Callithrix jacchus: one gene and its partner. The protein of the gene in region 2 interacts with the protein of the main gene of each other region in a biochemical or structural test. Links are inferred from orthologs where the notes say so. Each region holds a gene or a part of one and is shown on either strand. Other genes may lie near its edges.

Region 1 (10,996 bases), on a different chromosome or scaffold from region 2:
TAGTCTATGGTATTTTGTTATAGCAGCACAAATAGAATAAGATAACTGGTGAGCATCAAAAGATCAAATACTCTAAGGCAATATAAGATTAAGTGTCCAAATAAGCAGCAGAGCCATCAGTGAAAGCTGGAGAGGGCTACAAAGTCTTTTGGGTGGAAATTGAACCAGGGAAGATAATTAAGAGACAGGAAATAAACACACAGCTTGCTAAAAGGCCTAGGACTGATAGGACTGAACATGACAGGAGTGGGAATTATGACAAACCAGAGAGTCAGGGAAAATGTCAATAAGGAAGGGGAGAAAGGACAGGGAAGCTGAGGATTGTGACTAACTGTCCAGTCCTAAATCTGTGTAGCTGTCTGTTCACCTAACCCAGTCCTTTCCATCAAAACCACAATAAAGTCTTCGGACAGGCTTTACCCTTGCCCCCTGTGCATCCCAACGGACCCTGGGGCTTCCCTGCGTGGCCCTGCAGGTTGTGCCCCCTGCTTCTAGGGTCTGTGAGTATAATAGTTTCTTCTGGGCTGGGTTTATTACTGGCTCACACCTGTAATCCCAACACTTAGGGAGGGTGAGGCAGGGGGATTGCTTGAGGTCAGGAGTTCGAGACCAGCCTAACCAACATGGAGTACTAAAAAAAAAAAATTAGCTGGGTGTGGTGGCATGTGCCTGTAACCTCCACTACTCAGGAGGCTGAGGCAGGAGAATCGCTTGAATCCAGGAGGTGAGGATTGCGGTGAGCCAAGATCATGTCATTGCACTCCAGCCTGGGCAACAGAGTAAAACTCTGTCTCAAAAAATGAAAATAAAAAACACCTTGTTCCTTCATGACAGTCACTTCTGTGTCTGTGAGTCTTACCATACCTGATTAAAACAAAACACAGATACATTTTCAAACACACATATAGGGGCCGAGTCTACGGGCTCTGGTTGTGCTCCTACGCTGGTGGGTAGCAGCGGAGGCAGGTGGAGTGGGTGGAAGGATGGAGGGTGAGGCAGTGGAGACATCGACGGGCCTAGAGGTTTGGGGACTCAACTTTGATATAGTTCTGTCGTCTCTGCAGACTTGAGGCTCCCTCCTAGAAAAGCAAGACATTTACTTAGAGAATCCTGGGGTCCCTTCTAGCTCTTAGATGGTTTCTAAAACATGTAATGGAGCAATGTAAAAATGTTTATATGCAATATGAATTTGGGAGGAAAAAAGGATACAAAATTATATTTATCCTACCATCAAAGATAGCCAAAGACTGAAAGAAAATACACAAAGAAAACAGTTTAATGAAGGGATGGGATTATGGGTATAAACAGATATTTCAACTTAAAAGGAAAAAAAGGATCCAAAGTTCACATCTGCACAGTTGAGGCCGAGCTGGTAGCACCTTCTTCATCACTGCTGCTCTTTTGCCAGTGCCCCTATATTAGTTTCTCACTGCTGCTGTGGCAAATCACCACAAAGCTAGTGGCTTGAAACAATGCACATTTATTATGTTGTAGTTCTGGAGATCAGAAGCCCACTCTGGCTTACTGGGCTAACATCAAGGTGTCATCAGGGCTGTGTTCTCTCTGGACACTCTAGAAGAGAATCCACTTTTCTTTCCCTGTCGCCTGCATCGGTTGGCTCCTGACCTCCATGCACCCTTAAAGCCAGCAAGGGCTAGCTGAGTCTTTCCCACAGTTGAGGTTTTTTTGGTTGTTCTTTTGTGTTTTGTGATGGAATCTTGCTCTGTTGCCCAGGCTGGAGTGCAGTGGCAGGATCTTGGCTCATCACAACCTCCCTCTCCAGGGTTCAAGTGATTCTCCTGCCTCAGCCTCCCAAGTAGCTGGGATTACAGGTGCACACCATCATGCTCTGCTAAGTTTTGTATTTTTAGTAGAGACGGGGTTTCACTATGTTGACCGGACTGGTCTTGAACTCCTGAACTCATAATCTGCCCATCTCAGCTTCCCAAAGTGCTGGGATTACAGGCGTGAGCCACTGCGCCCAGCACAGTTGAATCTTTCTAGCCTTCCTTCAACTGTCACATCTGCTTGTCTGAGTCTGATTCTCCGGCCTCATACCCCTGTGACTACAACAGGCCCACCTGGATAATCCAGAATAACCTTCCCATCTCAAGGTCAGCAACCCAGTAAACTTAATTCCATCTGCAGCATTAATTTTGCTGTCTTTTGACATAGCATATTCACAGAATCTGGGGATTAGGGGTTGGCCATCATTGGGATGGGGCATTGTTCTGGGCTGCAGCCCCTGAGTGTCTCCAGATTGCCTTGCACATTTTCACCCAGTTTAAGCTGCATAAACACAGCAAGGGGAGGAGGACAAGCCTTCCACTGTGATTTGCCTGGAGGTCCTTTGGCCCCTTAGGATCATTCTGCTAGCCAGTGAGATACCTCATAACAACTGGAGCTGGACATTCAGCCAGAAAGCATTGTGGAGCAACTTCTGTATGTCAAAACTAAGCCAGGTACACATATGAGGAGGATACAGTCCCTTCTCAGGGAGCTCACAGTCTCATAAAGACGAGCATCCACAGCCCCAAATACAAAGCACAAGGGGAGGAAAGGTGCAGTGAAGTGAGGCTGAGGACCATGAGCTGTGGTCCCACTCACAGGCCTGCGGAGGGCACAGTGGAGGAGGGCAGTTCAGGCTCAGCTCTAGCTTTACAGTTTTCTTTTTAAGTATCAATGAGAACAAGGAAATACACCCTGTTCCACTCTCCTCCTGTCCCTCTCCCAACCTACCTACTGTCTCCATCTCTCCATCTCACTGAGCAGAAATAACTACTCTATGGAAAAAAAGAATATATATGTGTATATCTTGTTCCTGATATATTCTGCATGTAAAAGTGTTCAAATGTAGAACATTATATAGATAACTTATAATGCTATGTTATACAATGGGTTTAGTCTACAACATATTTTGCAGCTTGAACCAGTCTCTGACCAAATTGAATATATGTTCCCAAGTCAATACATCGTGTATTTGTGCATTTCTAGGGCAAATCACCAAACACGGAATAGCTGTGTCAAAGGATATGCTCAGTTTTAATTTTGACAAATATGGCCAAGGTGCCATCCAAAAACAGTCATGCATCCTAAGGAACAAGAATATGTTCTGAGAGATGCATTGTTAGGCAATTTCGTTGTTATGCAAACATCATAGAGCTACTTACACAAACTTAGATGGATATAGTCTACTATACACCTAGGCTACATGGTGTATGCCCTATTGCTCCTAGGCTACACACCTGTACAGCATGTTACTGTACTGAATACTACAGGCAAAGGTAACACAATGGTAAGAATTTGTGCATCTAAACATAAAAAGCTACAGTAAAAATACAGCATTGTAACCTTATGGAACCACCATCATACATGCTGTCTGTCACTGACCAAACACCTTCATGCCGTGCATGACTGTGTGAAGCACCTGTCTGTCCACACTCTCACTGACACTGGACATTATCCATTTTTTAAACCTTTGTCCATCTGAAAGGTGGAAAAGGCTTGTCTTGATGTGATTCTGATTTGCATTTCTTTAGTGATGAAGTGTAGTTAAAATATTTTTTTCGCATGCTTGTTTGTGTTTTACATTTTTGAGCTGTCTGGAATTTATTTTGTCATAAGAATAGAACTTTATAATTTCCAAATGGCAGTACTTGTTATTAAATAATTCATACCCAGCTCTCAATTTTAAAAATGAAAGGAGGCCATCTCAAGCTAAACCTCATACTGTACACAAAAATTAATTCAGACTGAATCATGGATTTAAGAGTAAAGCATGAAACTTTTAGAAGATAACATAGGAGCAATCTTCAGTATTAGGAGTAAGCAAAGAGTTCTTAGGCATGACATCAAAATCATTATTTGCAAAATTCAAAAATCAAAAATTTATCTTCAATGAAATTAAACTTTTGTTCCATTGAAGATCCTGTTAAAGGGATGAAAACACAAGCTACAGACCGGGTGATAATATTTGCAAACCACCTACCCAACAAAGACTTACATACGGCAATACATAAAGAACTATCACAACTCAATAATTAAAACAAAATCCGTTATAACATGATCAAAAGGCTTGAACAGATATTTCATCAAAGAGGAAATACAGATGGCAAACAAGCACATGACAAGATATTCAACATCCCTAACCATTTGTGAAATACAAATTTAAAAATTAAACCACAATAAGGCCAGGCACAGTAGCTCGCATCTGTAGTCGCAGCACTTTGGGAGGTCGAGGGGGAAGTATTCTTTGAGCCCAGGCTTTGAGACCAGCCTAGTCAACAAGGTGAAACCTCATCTTTACAAAAAATACAAAAATTAGCTGGGCATGGTGGCATCCACCTGTAGTCCCAGCTATTCAGGAAGTTGAGGTGGGAGAATCTCTCGAGCCCAGGAGATCCAAGTTGCAGTGAGCCATGATCTCTCCACTGCACTCCAGCCTAGACAACAGAGCAAGACCCTGTCTCTAAATAAATAAATAAAATGAGGTCTGTAGTGTAGTTAACTGTAATGTTCCAGTGTAAATTTTCTGTTTTTATATTGTCCTACAGTTATATAAGAAGACACTGGAAGTATTATTTTTGCAACTTCCTGTGAATCTACAATGATTCAAAAGAAAACATTTTTTAAAATGTTCGAATATAAAGAGACTGAAAAGATGAGAGAAGAGAACCAGCTTTGCCAAAGCCTTGCCCACTGCACAGGTAGTTTTCTGCAGTCACGTTATCAGCAATAATCCATCAACTTTGCTTCCTCCAGAGACACATGACATACCAACCTTTCGAAAAGTTTCCAGTCAAATGGAAGGCATCTTAGACCAGGACAGACTTAAAAGTTGCATTAAAAAAAATAGTTCAAAAAAATCAGCCTACCCTTTTTCCAGATTACCGTTACCACTTAACCTACTGGCTTTGCTGAGTGGGATCTATCAATCTGCATGCTTGTTTCAGAACCATTTGATGTAAGTTTCATAGAACTTGTGCCTTCGCTCCTACGTACTTCAGTGTTTATTTCCTAAAAGTATTCTCTGATACACTGACAGTACAGTGCGCAACTTCAGTAAATTTAACATTCATTCAGTACTTCCATCATGGGCCCAAATTGACTCACACCTGTGGGGAGGCCAAGGCAGGAGGATCGCTTGAATCCAGGAGATTGAGGCTTCGGTGAGCTATGATGGCATCACTGCGCTGCAGCCTGGGTGGCAGAGCAACACCCTGTCCGTAAAAAGGGAAGAGCAAAGAAAATACTTCTAGCATCTCTGTTCCACCTTCATCCATTGTCATGGTACCATCCAGTCCAATCACAGTCCTGGTTGGTCCAATTTGGCTAACCCATTGTTTAGCCAATGGATTAAATGTTAACAGTTGGTAATCTGGAAAAAGTGTATGCTGATGTTCTTTTGAACTATTTTTTGAATGCAGTTTTTGTGTCTGTCCTGGTCTGAAACGCCTTCCACCTGTCTGGAAGTTTTTCAAAAGGATGGTATGTCATCTGTCTAGGGCAGAAGGAAAGTTAATAGCTTATTGCGGATAAAGGAAAGGCCAAAGAAACCCACTTGGGGAAAGGCTTTGGCAAAGGTGGTTTCTTTCTCTCAGGCTGGGGTCAGGCTTCACCTACTCGTCATGCCTCTTTGAGACGGCAGATATTGCAGATCTGTTTGCCACCATCTCTCTGAGAGAGACAGCTCCCAGAACTCTCACGGTACTATGCGGCGGCAGTGACTGCGCCCTCACACCCTGTGATTGGCTCTGACGGTCCTGAAGAGCTAACTGGAGTGTTTGTCTTGGTCATCCCATCCCCAAGAGCGTCTCAACTTCTGTTGCGGGTGGGTGGGGCAGAGGAGTCCCACTTTGGTGTGCACTCCCTCCCGGCCTGGGAAAACGGCTCAGGGAGGAGGGAGGAGAGCTGGGAAAGGAGTGGGAATTGGGGAAGGAATCACCTAGAAAGGAGTGGAGCCCTGCGGCGCCCAGGACTCGATGCTCTGCGGAGTCACCTGGAGCGCTGGGCGGCCAATCCGAGGCGCGACCCGTCCCATGGCCAATGGGAAGGCGGCGCAGCGCGCTCCCCGAGGCTATAAGCGCACTGGGCGGCGGAAAGTGAAAGCGTTACGGGCGCGGCAGGCTGGCACAGCCGAGCTGGAGTCAGGCCGGAGCCGGGCCGCCGGGATGCTCAGGGCTCCAGAGCCGCGGCCAGGGGAGGCAGAAGCGGAGGGGGCAGCGCCGCCGACCCCGTCCAAGCCGCTCACGTCCTTCCTCATCCAGGACATCCTGCGGGACGGCGCGCAGCCGCCTGGTGGCCACAGGGGTACCCCGCTACAGCGGGACCCGGAGCCAGAGCCGGAGGGAGGACGCGGCGGTGCCGGGGCGCAGAAGAAGGAGCTGAGCTCTGGGCTCCCGGCCGCGCCAGAGACCGAGGCAGGTAAGCGGCGAGGCGGGGGCTTGAGGGGCTGCCCGAGGCGGACCCCCTAGAGCTCGGGGTGCAGAGACTTGGGGCCCCGCGGCCACAGACGGAGGGATCTCCCCGACCCCCCCCCCCCCGCCATGCGTGCGCCCCGGGGATGAACCCTGAGCCCCAGCGTCAGGGCGGCACAGGATTCTGACACCGCAGGGCTCACCCAGACTGATGCCCTAGGCTCCCTGGGGCTCAGAACCCAGCGCACACCTCAGAGCAACCGCCCTCCATCGTCCCGGGAGCGGATCCCACCGCGCCACCCGCGATCGGTGCCAGCCCCACCGTAGTTACGAGAACTAATAATAACTTATTAATAGTGACAAAGCAGGGGTTGCCCAGCAAAGACCGTGTGCTTCCCAATCCTGTGGGCAGTAAAGTGGTACATTGGGGTTCCCTCTGGTGTCCAGGAGACAGAGTCCACTGATTTTCTTTCCTGCCACTTCTGATGCGACCACTCAACGCCGCGTTTACCGAAGAGGGAATTAAAGCCCTGAATGAGCCTGCCTCTGCCTCTCCCGAGGCACAAGCCCTCTCTTGCCCACCTAGATCCTAACACCGGATGCCTTTTGGTCCGGCCTTCCCGGGTATTTGGTTCCTCGGCGTCTTCCCTGCCTCCCTCTCCCTCCTCTCCTCAGCACACAGATCCAGAATCCTCATTTAATTCTACCAGACACTAGGGAGAAAGTTCAACCACGAAACGCCTCTAACTTTGGATTCTTGCTGATTCTTCGAAAATGAATACCTAATAAACATATTTACTCACTCTTCCCTCGGGAGAGCTGCTTAGTCTGTCTTGTGAAAAAAGTGAAATGTATCCACGATGACAGTGGGCTGTTTGTTCACTCACTAAAGAGATAAGGGTTGATTGAATTCTGGTCTCTTCCCTGCTAACATGTTACTTTTGTCTTCCCTCCCTCCTTCCCCGCTTTCCTTTCCAGATAGGCACTTGGGGTCTTATCTGTTGGACTGTGAAAACACTTCAGGCGCCCTTCCAAGCCTCCCCCAAACCCCGAAGCAGCCGCAGAAGCGCTCCCGGGCTGCTTTCTCTCACACTCAGGTAATCGAGTTGGAGAGGAAGTTCAGCCATCAGAAGTACCTGTCGGCCCCTGAACGGGCTCACCTGGCCAAGAACCTCAAGCTCACAGAGACCCAAGTGAAAATATGGTTCCAGAACAGACGCTATAAGACCAAGCGGAAGCAGCTCTCCTCGGAGCTGGGAGACTTGGAGAAGCGCGCCTCTTCGTCCGCCCTGAAAGAGGAGGCCTTCTCCAGGGCCTCCCTGGTCTCCGTGTATAACAGCTATCCTTACTACCCATACCTGTACTGTGTGGGCAGCTGGAGCCCAGCTTTTTGGTAATGCCACCTCAGGTGACACCCACGTATGATCAAAAACTGCCTTCCCCCGGGTGTCTCTCGGAAAAGCACAAGGGGCCAAGCTCAGGGTGTGACAGGTGTGCGCACCAAAGCTGTGGGAGATTTGCCTGGCAATCTCAGATTCTTCACTGGTGGGACAATGAAAACACAGACAGTGGCAGTTTTAATATCTCATTCATTCCCCCAGTGCACACTGTAGGCCATATTTTGCTTCTGGCTACCTGCTTGAAGGGGAAAGAGGGAAAATCAAGTGCTATTTCCAGCACATTGTATGATTTTGGATGAGCTGTACACCTGAGGATGCTGTTTTCCATCTCCATCCTCCTGTGTCACTGAATATCAGCTCTGAAGGAGCAAACCTAAAGGGAGAAAGGACAACCAGGATGAGGATGTCACCCACTGAATTCAACTTAAGTCCAGAAGCCTCCTGTTGGCCAAGGCTCTCTCTCTGTCCCTGTAAAAGAGAGGGGCAAATAGAAGGTCTCCAAGAGAACGCCCTCATGCTCAGCACATATTTTCGTGGGAGAGGGAGATGGGTGGGAGGAGATGAAATACCAGCTTCTTCTTATTCCTTCTTATTCCTTTTAAAATGTTATGCCAACTTGAGTATTTACAGGGTGGCCCAAATAGAACAAGACACACTCGCTGTGATTTTAAGACAAGCTGTATAAACAGAACTCCACTGCAGGTGGTGGGTCCTTGCCAGAGAATCTTCACATGTCCAAGACAGGGGCCTAAGGAGGGTCTTCACACTGCTGCTAGGGGCTGTTGCATTTTTTATTAGCAGAAAGGCCTCTTCTCAACTTTTTTCCCCTGGGTTGGAGAATTTAGAATGAGAAGTTTCCCGGATTTTCCAGGCTATCATATATACTGAATCCTGAGAGACAGCATCATTCTTCCTTCCCTCCTCTTTAAATTTTTTGTTCCTTTTTTTGCAGCAATTACTCACTAACAGGCTTCATTTTAGTCCAAACTTTTAGTCTGGCCACACCTAACATATGCCTCATTTATCGGCCTGAGAACTGCTCTTTCTTTCTCCCCTGCCCGCCAAATCTTTATCTGTCCTGAGTTTTTTTAAAAAGCTGGGGAACAGATTCTGAATTAGCTAAAAGAGATGCATTTTTAAAATTAGCAACTCTTCTTTCCTTTAAAAATATGCAGCATTAAATCCCAATCCTGTTTAAAGACCTGAAAGCTCAAGAAGGTCACTGCTGCATTTATAGGACCTTCTGGGGATTCTGTTGTTATGTTCGGAGTATGACAATTATTGGGAATCCTCGCATGTAGAGGAGGTAAGAGGTATTGGATTTTCATAGAGAAGGAAGAACACAGCACAGAAGGAAGGGCCAGGCTCACTGAGCTGTCCAGTGGAGGGCTCATGGGTGGGACTTGGAAAAGAAGGCAGCCTACGCCTTGGGGAGCCCAGTCCACTGAGCAAGCAAGGGACTGAGCCTTTGGCATGAAAAGACTAAGAAAAAGAAAACCTGTTTCAAAACACAAGGAACTGTCTAAACGCTTTGGGGACTGTGTTTAATGCCTATAATGGGTCCCCAGTATGGGTGACCTAGACTTCAGAGAGAATGAGCAGAGAGCAAAGGAGAAATCTGGCTATCCCACCATTTTCATTCTGTTATCTCAGGTGACCTGGCAGAGGGGAGGAGACATCAGAAAAAATAAAACAACAAAACAATTACCAATGAGGTACGCTATGCCTGGAAGTCTCTTGATTCCACTACTTAATTCTGTTTAGTGAGAAACGTTTCAATTTTCTTTCATTAAAGGGGTAAATTTACTGTTGGTGGCAAAATTGCCAACATAAGTTGACAGAAAGTTGGCCAATTTCACCCCATTTTCTGTGGCTGGGGATCCACATTGAAATGTTCAATGCCACATGCTGCCAACACCCACCAGAGCACTACACAGCACGAAGGCAGGGTCGCTTTCTACTTTGTGCATTTCTCTAAAAATATGTTTAGTGCTCAGTCCCTGTTGTACTCTCTCTCCCGTCCTCTGAATTTAATTATTTCAGCTTGAGACCTGCAAGGATTACACGTTTCACTGTGATGTATGTTGTGCTGCAAAAAAAGTATCTTGGTTTAAAATCATTTGGTTTGTGAACCCACCTTGCTTGTTCCCCGTTGGAACTAGTCATTAACCCATCTCTGAACTGGTTGAAAAACATCTGAAGAGCTAGTCCCTCCGTATCTAACAGGTGAACAGGATGGTTCTCAGAACCAGACAGCCCGTTTCTATCCTGCTTAATAAATTAGTTTGGGTTCTCTATATTCATAACAAACCCTGCTCCAAGCTGTAACATAAAAGTCTGTGACCGGAAGTTAGTCAGCACCCCCTTGAAACTATTTTTCCATGTATTTTTTTGCAACATATGAGTGTTTTGAAAATAAAGTAACCATGTCTTTATTAGATGTATCTGTGTGATTTTCAGCTTCCTAAAAACTACATGCTGCATAACTTAGATTTATAATTTATAATTTACATTTATAATTACCATATCCTCTTGTCCTTGTCCTCCTGACACACCCATGACAACCTATGGCGATCAATAGCCTCAGCCTACCCAGTAGCTGGTGACGGTCATCCTTTTATAAAGGCATTGGCCTTCCTTCCTGTTAAGTCATGAGGAGAGGAAGTCCTTTTCTCTCTTCAGTTTAATAATCAACTGCTCCACTATTCACAATAGCAACATCGTGGGTTGAGCCTACATGCCCATTAACAGAGCATCAGATTTTAAAATGTGGTACATATACACCATGGAAGACATACGTAGCCATCACAAATAAATCTGATGGTCTTCTGCAGCAACATGGATGGAGCTAGAAGCCATTATCATAAGTGAAATGACTCAGAGACAGAAAGTCAGAAACTGCATGTTCTCATTCAAAATGGGAGCTAAATGACGGGTGTCTATGGACCTACAGAGTAGAGGAAGAGACACTGGAGGCTCCGAAAGGTTGGAGGGTGGGAGGAGAGTGATGAAAATGACTGATTGGGTCCAGTGTTTACTGTTCAGGCAATGGATACTAAAAGCTCAGACTTCACCACTGTGCAACAGATCCATGCAACACAACTGCACTTGTACCCCCGAGTCTATGAACATTTTTAAAAATTAAATAATCACCTACTCCAGCCGATGAATATCTTTCGC
Region 2 (10,896 bases):
CCTGGGAAGGGGCTTCTAGAATCTGGTACTCTTAATTCTCCCCATTCTGATTTTAAGTTTAGCCACATGAGCAAACCCAAAGCCGCTCCCTTCTGATTCCGGCCAGTACACATGGAAAGCTCTCAAAAAATTTGACTCTCAAATATAGCTGCAACATCTTGCTCAATAAACCTTACCTACGCTAGGCCTCTGATACTGTCTTTGCATTCCACCTCTTACTGTGGATTTTCTGCACCTTTCTTTCTTTCCTTGTCTTTATCTAAGGATATGGACTTTGGATCCCCTTCAACCGACATCCACAGCAGCAGGACAGGCACACCCCTTTCCAGGCCAGGTCCTGCCTCATCTGCTCCTGGGGGAATCTACTCTTGCTGACCTGAGTGGTGAGACCTCATCCCACACTAAGTCCCAGTCCCAACTCTGCCCTGAGGCCCTTCGTAACAAAGAGGCGGACACTTAAGTTTCCGTTAAGTTGTAGGAATTTATTTTAAATAACCTACAGTTGATTAAAAGGGAATTCATGATAAAAATAGAAGATACTTGAGGAAAGATGTGGGAAATGGACTCTGCACACACACTAAACTAACAATGCTTCTAAAACTAATGATTATAGCAAAAAATGTCTTCACATTAAAATTCTGCTTTTTGTTTTTTCCATTTTTTACACAATTACAAAAGAAAAAATAAAAGCCCTAAAATCTTGATTATTTTTCCTTTTTTTTGGACCAAATACTCATTTTCCTCTGAATTTATTGACCTGTGGAACTTTTTATACAATAAAATCTTTCAAGTGAAAGATTAGGGTTAAAAAGAAAAAGATGGCTATCTTAAAGGGTACAGCGAATGCTCAGAACAAAGGATGATGGGAAAATGGTTTCAGTCACTGATTATTTCATTATCCTTAAACTCACTCGCCCGTCATCCCTCCCCAACCCCAATCTACACGATCTTTAAGATCAAGAAAAAGGTTTAAATATTTTAAAATAATTAAAAAGAAATAAAAATTCACATTTAAAAAGGAACACTCAAGTCAGGAAATATTTTCCCATCATGCTTTTCTGTGAACAGGTGTCTGAACCAAAACACTGCCAATGCCACGACTGCTTCAAGTTTAATGAAAATTGATCCCCATGACAATAAAGAGTGACGACTCTAACAGGTGCGCTGGGTTTTTTTTTTCTATTTAATTTTAAATTCCTGAAATGGGGGAGAGGGGAGGGAGTTTAGGAATTTATTTCTATTAAAATATAGAAGTTATTGCAAAACCCTAACTGTAAAAACGCACCAATATAATCGGACTTTGCATACAGTAGCTAAGAGAATCCAAACATTTCAGTGAAACAGTGAATTTGCCTTGTAGAACGCTGACAAATTCCCATCCACTTTCCCTCTTGAAAATAAAAACAAAATTCAAAACAAATCATACAGCTAGAATTTTGATATCTGAAATATTTTTAAATAAGTTGTCCATAGGACAACTGGCTCAGCTCTCCCTTATAATATCTCCAGGTTTATCTTTTCGCAAAGATGTTGGTTTGTTAAGACTTGCTGCCTCTCTCCCCCGGAAACGAGGGCAAGCGAGGCTCAGTTTATCCATCTTTCCCAAACCACACTGTTCTTTTCACAGAACTCTGCCCCTTGAGACTGGCTAAAACTCGTAGTCTTCATCAGCCATGTCAATGGCCCAGGCAAACTTTTCCCTCTGGGTTTTGTTGTAAATCTTCTCAATTGGGACACCCCACTTCTTGCACCTGCAAATAAAGGAGAAATAAGGAGGATTAGTGTGACTCAGCAATGGCCCAGATCTGAGGCCTGGGGTCTCATGTGCCATCTTCTCTTTCACATCTGTCTAGTGAGAATGCAAATTAATGGTGCACCAACCATGTTCTAAGGGTTTCATGTGATCAACTCATTTAATCTTGACGGTGATCTCTAAAGTAGGTGATTCTGCAGATGTACAAGTGAAAAAGGGCCAGATGAAGACACTGAGGCGGAGACGTTAGGTAATTTACTTATTTTCTCACACAGCTAGCTGATATGTGACCTGAAATTTGAACCCAAACAGTTTTTCTCTGTATTATTAACCACTATACTATATAGCCTTTCAAGAACTAATCACACCTCTAACACCAAACAAGGCAAAATGAGCAGAAAGAGGTACAAAAGAGCTATGTGGAACCTTTGGCCTGGACTAGCAAGTGCCCTAGGGGAGGATATCTCCACCTATGCCTGGAACTTAACAGGGCAAACTCAACATCTTCCAAAACAAAGCCACTTGTTTCCAGTGTGACACACAGAGACCCCAATATTTATATGCCTTTGTTATAGGTCCCTCTACCTCTCTGTTTGTATTCTCATCTTTGTTTTTATCTCTTGTTCCTACCTTCAACTGCAAAAAAATTAACGAAAAGTTCTATTGAAGGGTATAGATATATGGGCTCTTTCCTATTTTTCCAGAGGCTGAGTTTCCATTCCTGTCCTAAAATTCCATAAGGAATAGGGATAGCACCTGCCTCTTAAAAGCATAACATACACTACAAGGCAGTATGACAGCACTGACCATCATTTAGGACCATCCAGGATGTTGCAATGCATTTACAGACAAAGTTCAGCAACCAGAGTACCCTGTACACAGCTGAAGCGAGAAGTTTCCCCATAGGACTAGAAGTGTACAACTTAGGAATGGCATGTGAAGGCCACCAGTGCCCTCGAAACCCCCTCCACCTTTCTCAAGCTAACAGTAGGAGCTCAAGAGGGCTCAACACTTACCAAGCCACTGTGATCCTAGGATCCAGATAATTGAGTTTGGAGGTTCCCAAGGCAATCTGTTTATTTTCCTCTCGGTCTGTGGCTTGAACTTCTAGTTTCATCAACTGTTCCTCCAGTCTCTGCACAGCCTTCTTCTTTGACTCTACTACCCTAGAAGAATAGCAGAGTCCTCAAGAACCAGGCCTGGGCTCAAGACAAAAGCACACTGTACCCATCCTGCCACTTAGCGTCAATAAAAGCCCAAGTACAGAGATTTCCAAAAGATATCACTCAGACCAGCACTTTGGGAGGCCGAGGCGGGTGGATCACAAGGTCAGGAGATCGAGACCATCCTGGTCAACAGAGTGAAACCCCGTCTCTAATGAAAATACAAAAAAAAAAAAAAATTAGCTGGGCATGGTGGCGTGTGCCTGTAATCCCAGCTATTCAGGAGGCTGAGGCAGGAGAATTGCCTGAACCCAGGAGGTGGAGGTTGCGGTGAACCAAGATCGTGTCATACACTCCACAGCCTGGGTAACAAAAGCAAAACTCCGTCTCCAAAAAAAAAAAAAAAAAAAAAAAAAAGCTATCACTCAGAAACCATAGAAAAGCTGGAACCCCAGGGCCTCTGACAGATGCTACGCAAACTTTTCTCTACCAGCCCCCGACTTTCACAATACCAAGTACATACTTCTTGGTCTTTGCATCCTTCATGACCTTGGCATCAGCCTTAGCACTTTTCAGGTCCCTTCGGGCGTCTGCTAGCTGTTCCTTCTTGGCATCAATCTAGGGGAAATAATAGTGGTAAGGTTAGAAGCTGTAGAGAAAAAAAATGGCTCCATCAGAAGTGAAACCTAGATGTTATCTCCATCAGGCTGTCTCTCTCAGTGGATGGTCATATAAAAACACCAAGGGTGGCTTCATGAAGGTAGAGAGAAGATGCACAAGGACTACTGAATTCAACTATTTGTTCTTCAGTGATCCTCTGAGAAACAAGGGTTCAATAGGGCAGTAACCTGCGGGGTTGAGGAAAAGGAACCTGCTGGGGCTGGGAATCTGAGTGTTGATATTTCCATCAGAGAACACTCTGCCATTAGTCATCTGGAGGGGGGCTACAAATGACAGCTGTTTATCAAATAGATCCTGTTCCAGTTTTTAGCTTTCATTCCAAGAATACTGTAGGAGCTACTCTCTAGGAAGCTGAGGCAGGATACTTGCATCGACTGGGCAACCCCAGCTCATTCCTCAGATCCCACCAGTACTCTGGGAAGGGGGTGCCGGCTTCTCAAGGAAAACGGATGCACTGAACAGAGTACCCAAGGGGCTAAAAACTGGCAATTAAAAGGTACCCAGGAAGCCAAACAGCTCAGCCAGTCTGTCCCAAACCAGGACATGGCAGGGCCTGGTTTTGACATTCTGTTTTTAAAGGGGAGAGGTCCGAGGTGGAAAGGACCTTAGTTGTCACTCAATGGATGTGAAAATACTTTTAGCTGTGGAGCTTTTTCTCCCCCAAGTGAAATCTTGTGGGATCCATATCTATGAGGGAAGAGACATGGGCAGTTTCAGCCTTTCTTGTTTGTTAGAATCCTTGAAGCCCCCTGGTGAATCTAAGTTCTTCTTAGATTCCTCCTTAGAGACAGCAGTGGGCAACAACATGGAGCTAGAGCCCCTGTCAGTGAGCTCACACTGCTGGGGGGGGTGGGGGGGTGGGGTCAGAAGAACCCCACACAAATGATCATCTAGCTGATCTGTGAGGTTAAGACAACCTCCACAGAGTAAATAACATGTCTGACACACACTGGGCTGCTCACTGAGACTAGAATTGTTTGTTAGATACACACAGCCTGAGATTGGAAACAGAGGCCACCATTGTGAGAATCATTGAATATGTTTTACTATGAATGGCTTACTTCCAATATCTATGTTGTCCAAAGCCAAACTGAGGGGACTGATTCTATATACAAAAGCATCACAGACACCACTAGCCAGATTCTTTTTAGGCTAGAAATGCAGCAAACCACAATCTTTTAACCATTTCTGTGAATGCTAAATTGGCAGGCTATGTCAAATTCTCTCAAAGCATCAAAGACTCCATTGATTCACTTGGCAAACAGGGGCGTGTGTTTGCTTTGTGGGCACACAGGAGAGGAATCCTGGGCTTGGAGGCCTCGTCTGGCAGGCAGCCTGGGCTACCCAAACAGTGGTTCCAGAGTGAGAGCAACAAAAGACCTCCTCATGCTCCTGGGAGGGGTCTTCCTGAATTAGGTAAACAGCACCTGAATATTCATGCTTTTATTTCTGGCTTGGAATATAACACGAGAAGAATAAACAATTCCAGATGACCAGCATTTAATAAAGTGGCAGCAAATGTGAGCTGCTAGGATGGGTGGTCTATCTATAGGGTACTTTGCCTGCCAACCATATGATCCAAAGACTCAAGAGGTCTATGGATGTATATTCATTCAATATGGACATGTACATCCCTTCAAGAAAGCCAGATGGCATCTTTAGCATAAACTAATGGTTGTGTATACCTTTTGACCCAGCTGTACTACTCATGGGTATTTATCTTAAGGAAATCTCAACAAATGAAAAACATTCTGGGCCTTAAAATGCAGTCTTATTCCATAGTAGTAGTTCTTAAACTCCAGCTGTACAAGTATAGAATTCCATAAACTTGATGAGAAATTTTTTTATTTTTTTTGTGAGATGGAGTTTCGCTCTTGCTTACCCAGGCTGGAGTGCAATGGCACGATCTCGGCTCACCGCAACCTCTGCCTCCTGGGTTCAGGCAATTCTCCTGCCTCAGCCTCCTGAGCAGCTGGGATTACAGGCACGCGCCACTATGCCCAGCTAATTTTTTGTATTTTTAGTAGAGACGGGGTTTCACCATGTTGACCAGGATGGTCTCCATCTCTTGACTTCGTGATCCACCCGCCTTGGCCTCCCAAAGTGCTGGGATTACAGGCGTGAGCCACCGTGCCCAGCTGAGAAAAAAATTACTTCTATAATATCGTTAACCCCAATTTGAAATTTATTTGTATTTTTAAAAAATATTAATAGTGACAGGGTCTCACTATGTTGCCTAGGCTGTTCTTGAATTCCTTAGCTTAAGTGATCCTTCCACCTTAACTTCCCAAAGTGTTGAGATTACAGGTGTGAGCCACTGCACCCAGCCTCTAGCTGAATTTTGATATTTCTTCTTCAGTTATGAATATGGGCAACAAACCATAGTAATAGCGGCAGCACCTACGACTTTATCATCAGATGTTATAGACATTTTCACACTTCATATTTGAATTGCTGTAGAAATCTTAAATTATCATTTATATTCATTAATTACTACCTTGAAATTTATTTCGGCCACCTCAAGACCTTAATAGGAAGCATAACTATTACTATATTGGACTTTAAAATATATTTTGATAACTGTATTTCAATATAATTGGTTTCCTTTTTAACCCTGTGTATCTGTTCTGTAATGAAATAGCCGCACATTTTCACTGTGGGCCACCAAATTAGGATGAATTAGTTATGAAGTCATTGCTAACACAAAAATGCTCATTATCAAATGTTAACTGCCTTACGGTTTAAACACTCAGTACCAGGAAGAGTTAGGAGGAGGAAGGAGGCTCATGGACTAGGAACATCACCTATTTGCACATCAGTCTTTCCCTCTAGAGCAGCAACTTGTCTGGCGTGTCAGTTTTCAACAGATGTTTGATGATATATAAAAATATGATTCATGTGGAATGCATAAAAATAAAAATAGCTATGCTAGGATTGGAAACACTTTAAATATATAATTGTTTCATCATCCTTTCAATTTGAAACAATCTAATTTGGAAATAGCTGTATTTCTGGGGGCTGTGGCAAGGAATTGTGAAGACTCGCTTTAAATCCATTTTCCTCATGTATAATAAGAACAGTAATTAGCAATTAGAATGTGCATCAAAGTTAGCTTTTCAAAATAGGAAGTGGCCAGTATAGAACTTCTGTCTGTAGAATTAAGATTTCTTGAACAATGGTACTCTGATACTCAGTATTTTGATCAGAGATTACTAGTGTATTTCCATGTGTTTATCTTTAGCATGGACCTTCAAGAACAGACCCAGAACTGGCCTGCATATTGATATCTAAGCCCCAAAACCTCTCATTTGCAGATGATCTGCCCACAGCAAATCATGAAGTTCCCTTCATTTCATCCAAGATACCTTAGATTGCAAGTTCATCATAGACTTCTCAAAAGTTTTTGGTGGTGCCCTCTGATGGTTACAAAGAATTGCAACAGCTCGATTGGCACGGTTATAAGAAAGGATCTTCGCTGGGATGTTCTCATCCGCTGTAAAGAAAGGAACATGGTAGCAAGAGGGTCAGTTTGTATGCCAACAGTGAACACACAGTAGTGCCTCCTCCCCATGATCTTACTGGCCCTTATCTTACTCAGGTAATTCAACTTGCCTCCAACGCCTAAGATCAAAATTTGAGCCAACAGTCATAAGAAAATAGGAAGTTAATATGTAAGCTTGGCCTGGGTAAATTCCCATCACAAGAGGAACTCTGAGGTAATATAATAAAATCTACACCTTTCTTTTTACTCAGAGAACTTGGCTAGGGACCCTTCATCTCCTTGCTTCCTCCCTACCCATATGCTTGTCATAGGTGCTGCTGCTATTATTACTATGGTTTGTTGCCCATATTCATTAAGTTCTATACTGGCCACTCCCTGCCTCCCTGCCTCCCTATCTCTCTACCCAATGTAGCCTGAACAAAATGAGGAACTGAAGAGATGTTAAAAGTTAAAAAAATTTAAGCTATGAGTGGTAGTATTATTATGATTATTATTATTTTAGAGATTGGGTCTTACTCTGTCACCCAAGCTGGAATGCAGTGGTATGGTTGTGGCTATTGCAGCCCTAAACTCCTGGACTCAGCCTCCCAGGTATCTGGGACTACCACTACACCTGCCTAATTTTTACAAATTTTTGTAGAGATGAGGTCTCACTATGTTGCCCAGGCTGGTCTGGAACACTGCTGGGTGCAAGTAAGTCTCCTGCCACAGCTACCCAAGTGCTGGGATTACAGGTGTGAGCCACTGCACCTGGCCTGGTAGTATATTATTTAAAAAGAAAAATTGTAAATGTCATCCAAAAAAATTGTTTTTACTTGTATAAACAGTGTCGCATTCTTTCTATCACCTTAAAACACTGACCTGAACATACCTACCTCTGGCTTTTCTGGTTCATATTCTAAGGCCATTTGACGTATTTACAGAGGGCAGTGGAAATTCATTAGTGACTGGGCTCCAGGAAAAAAAAAGTCCGTGATCTTGGTGATAATATTCTAAAAATTGGCTATAGAAAGTATCTACTCTCTTACAGGGAAAAAAAATGATAGAAACTTTAGGGAAAGGACTTATCCCTGTATCTTTCTCATAAACATGACAACTTTACTCTCTTCAATTTAACAGAACATCACAGCACTGCCTTCACTCTGTGAGCTTTTAAGTAATATATTAATAAAACACAAATGCAGGTATTTTCATAGCAGGTAAAAAGCTGTCAGCAATCCATGAAATTAATCTTGAAGTTGGGGTGGGAAGGGGGAAACAGCACTGATCTTAAGTTTATACAACTAAGCATTAGCTAACTATTAGAGGTCTAAAGAGGAAAAGTGTCTGATCACAATGGTAGGGAAAAAAAAGTAGAACTGACTCTAGGACTTAGCTAAGCAAGGACACCGGATACCATGAGTAGGGGTGTGGGCCCTGTCCAGCCAAGTAATACTTACGGGCTGTGAGTTCTTTTAACTGCTGTTGTAGCGTGATGGAGGCGTTGTATGTACGGAATACCTTGGCTGTTAAGCCCTCCATGAGATCCTGAAGATGCTTATTTAGAATACCAGTCTGGAGGAGACAATGTAACAGAGACTTAGGTCAAAGCTGTACTACCTGCTCCTTCTGGCAGCCCTAGGAGTAATTTATACCAGTGCAGTCACAATCGTGTCAAGTTTATTTCCCTACAAGTGAGAAGTTAGGAAAAGAATTCCAGAATACAGGGTTACATAATGCCTCTCTATGAAGTATTTCAGTGTGCATGTGTGTGTACGTATGTCAGGGTCTCATTCTGACACCCAGCCTGGAGTGCAGTGGTGCAATCTCGGTTCACTGCAGCCGTCACCTCCTGGGCTCATGAAATCCTCCTGATGCTCCTAAGTAGCTGGGACTATAGGCATGGACCACCACGCCTAGATAATGATTTTGCCATGTTACCCAGGCTGGTCTCAAACTCCTGACCTCAAGGGATCTGCCCTACTTGGCCTCCCAAAGTGCTGGGATAACAGGCGTAAGCAACCAAGCCTGGCCCAGTATTTTGATCTTAACAGACCAATAAAGCAAATTTGTCCTTCCCTATCAAGATCTCAGGCACAGGTTTTGGGTCTCCAGTAGGGATGGCTGGGCATTCAGTGAAGGGAAAGCTCTGCAGGAGCAGGGAAGGGATAAAAGGTAGGGTTCATCTACTCTCACCTTGAGGGCCTTAGCATTTGTTCTACAGCAGATGTGTCTTCTCTTGGCCACAGATTCACCGTGGGCTTGGAGGGAGGAAGAGAGAGTATACAGGATGCCACAGAGCAGGCCAGGCTAAAGGAAGAGCCCGTTATCTGCCAGCAACCCTCCCCTTGAGGTTCTGGCTGGGAATCCCTTCAACCCAGTGTGCTTTGTCTACTCACATTGAGTCTATCAAAAAGATCATCCTCAGGCTGCTTGTTCTCCATAAATAGTTGTAAGTTCTTAAAAACCTAAAAGAAATAAGTGAATCCCAATTATTACTCTTTTAAAAAAATCCTTACATTAGAAATAATCCCAAACTTACAGAAACTTGCAAAGAAAAAAAAGGCACAGGAACATGCATACATCCTTCACCCAGATTCACTGTTAACCTTTTACCTCATTCATCATTTGCACAGGGCACATGTATGCTCACTCTCTCCGCATGTATATTTACAGATATATATACATAATTATTTGCTCTGGGCCATTTATAAGTACTTACTTATCATACAGTCCTTTAACCCTAAATATTTCAGTTTGTACATTGTAAAAATAGATATACCCTTACATTTACACAGTATTTATCAGCTTCAAAAATTTACATTGATACCTACTGTTATCTAATCTACTGTCCACAATCCAATTTTGTCACTTTATCTGATGATGCCCTTTACTTCATCAGTATAGAATCCAATCTGAGGTCAGGCATTACATTTAATTGTCAAATCGCTTTAGCATCTAATAGAGTACTCTTCCACGGCCAGCAAAGTCTAATTACTGATTAAATCTGAGACTGCTGCTGGGCTGGATTATTAGTATCCTGCACACTACAGGTCTCTGGTTCCAGCCCAATACTTTGGAAAAGATCAGGTTGGGACTATGGAGCTCTAGCACCCTCTTCAGTGGTGGGATCTGGGGACTAACAGATTAACCTTTCACTCAGTCAGGAGTTGGAGAGAGGCTAAGTAAAGATGCCAAGTGACAAATGTCCTTATCAGAAAGGTAATACAGGGTGGGACAGTGACTAAAAGGAGGTACACAAGACATCAAATATTACCTCTCCCCTCTTTCAAGTCATTTATTTATTTTAATTTTAGAGGCAGGGTCTCACTCTGTTGGCCAGGCTGGAGTACAATGGATATTCACAGGTGTGATCAGAGCACACTATAGCCTCAAACTTTTGGTCTCCAGTGATTCTCCTGTCTCAGTCTTCTAAGTAGCTGGGACTACAGGCATGTGCTACAATGCCTGTCTCAAGTCACTTTTGCTGGTACCCAGCAAACTGCAGAGGACACAAAGCACTCAAGCAATGCTTGTTGAATAATGAAAAACAAGCCAGACAATACAGGCTAAATTAACTTACACGTTTCTCAACAGGGACCTTGTTGTAGTATCTGATGGAGTCCTTTCCAAGGAAGTCAAACTCTACCACGTATTCCTGACCATCCAACTCTGGGTGTAGATTGATGTGCTCCACACGAAGTGAGCAGCAACCCACAGTGTCTGCTGTTTCTCCTTCCTCCTTTTCATTGCCTGCTCTCAGAGCAAGCTGCCCAGGAAAGAAAAGATGACCATGAATGAAGAGACATGACCCTTAT

The links. The genes of interacting proteins can lie anywhere in the genome.
Region 1: the proteins of TOP1 (region 2) and NKX3-1 form a complex in vitro, tested with the Homo sapiens proteins (2 studies listed by BioGRID and IntAct). The link is inferred for Callithrix jacchus from reciprocal best matches to the Homo sapiens genes TOP1 and NKX3-1.

Annotation. Positions count from the first base shown.
Region 1 is NC_133514.1:17,798,442-17,809,437, forward strand, and holds NKX3-1 (homeobox protein Nkx-3.1), read left to right. Parts: upstream 1-6,109; 5' UTR 6,110-6,170; coding exon 6,171-6,423; intron 6,424-7,394; coding exon 7,395-7,813; 3' UTR 7,814-10,252; downstream 10,253-10,996.
Region 2 is NC_133506.1:36,461,979-36,472,874, reverse strand, and holds the end of TOP1 (DNA topoisomerase 1), read right to left. Parts: intron 10,848-10,896; coding exon 10,662-10,847; intron 9,547-10,661; coding exon 9,478-9,546; intron 8,654-9,477; coding exon 8,539-8,653; intron 7,091-8,538; coding exon 6,963-7,090; intron 3,535-6,962; coding exon 3,440-3,534; intron 2,920-3,439; coding exon 2,770-2,919; intron 1,752-2,769; coding exon 1,649-1,751; 3' UTR 462-1,648; downstream 1-461. UniProt on the Homo sapiens protein: Releases the supercoiling and torsional tension of DNA introduced during the DNA replication and transcription by transiently cleaving and rejoining one strand of the DNA duplex.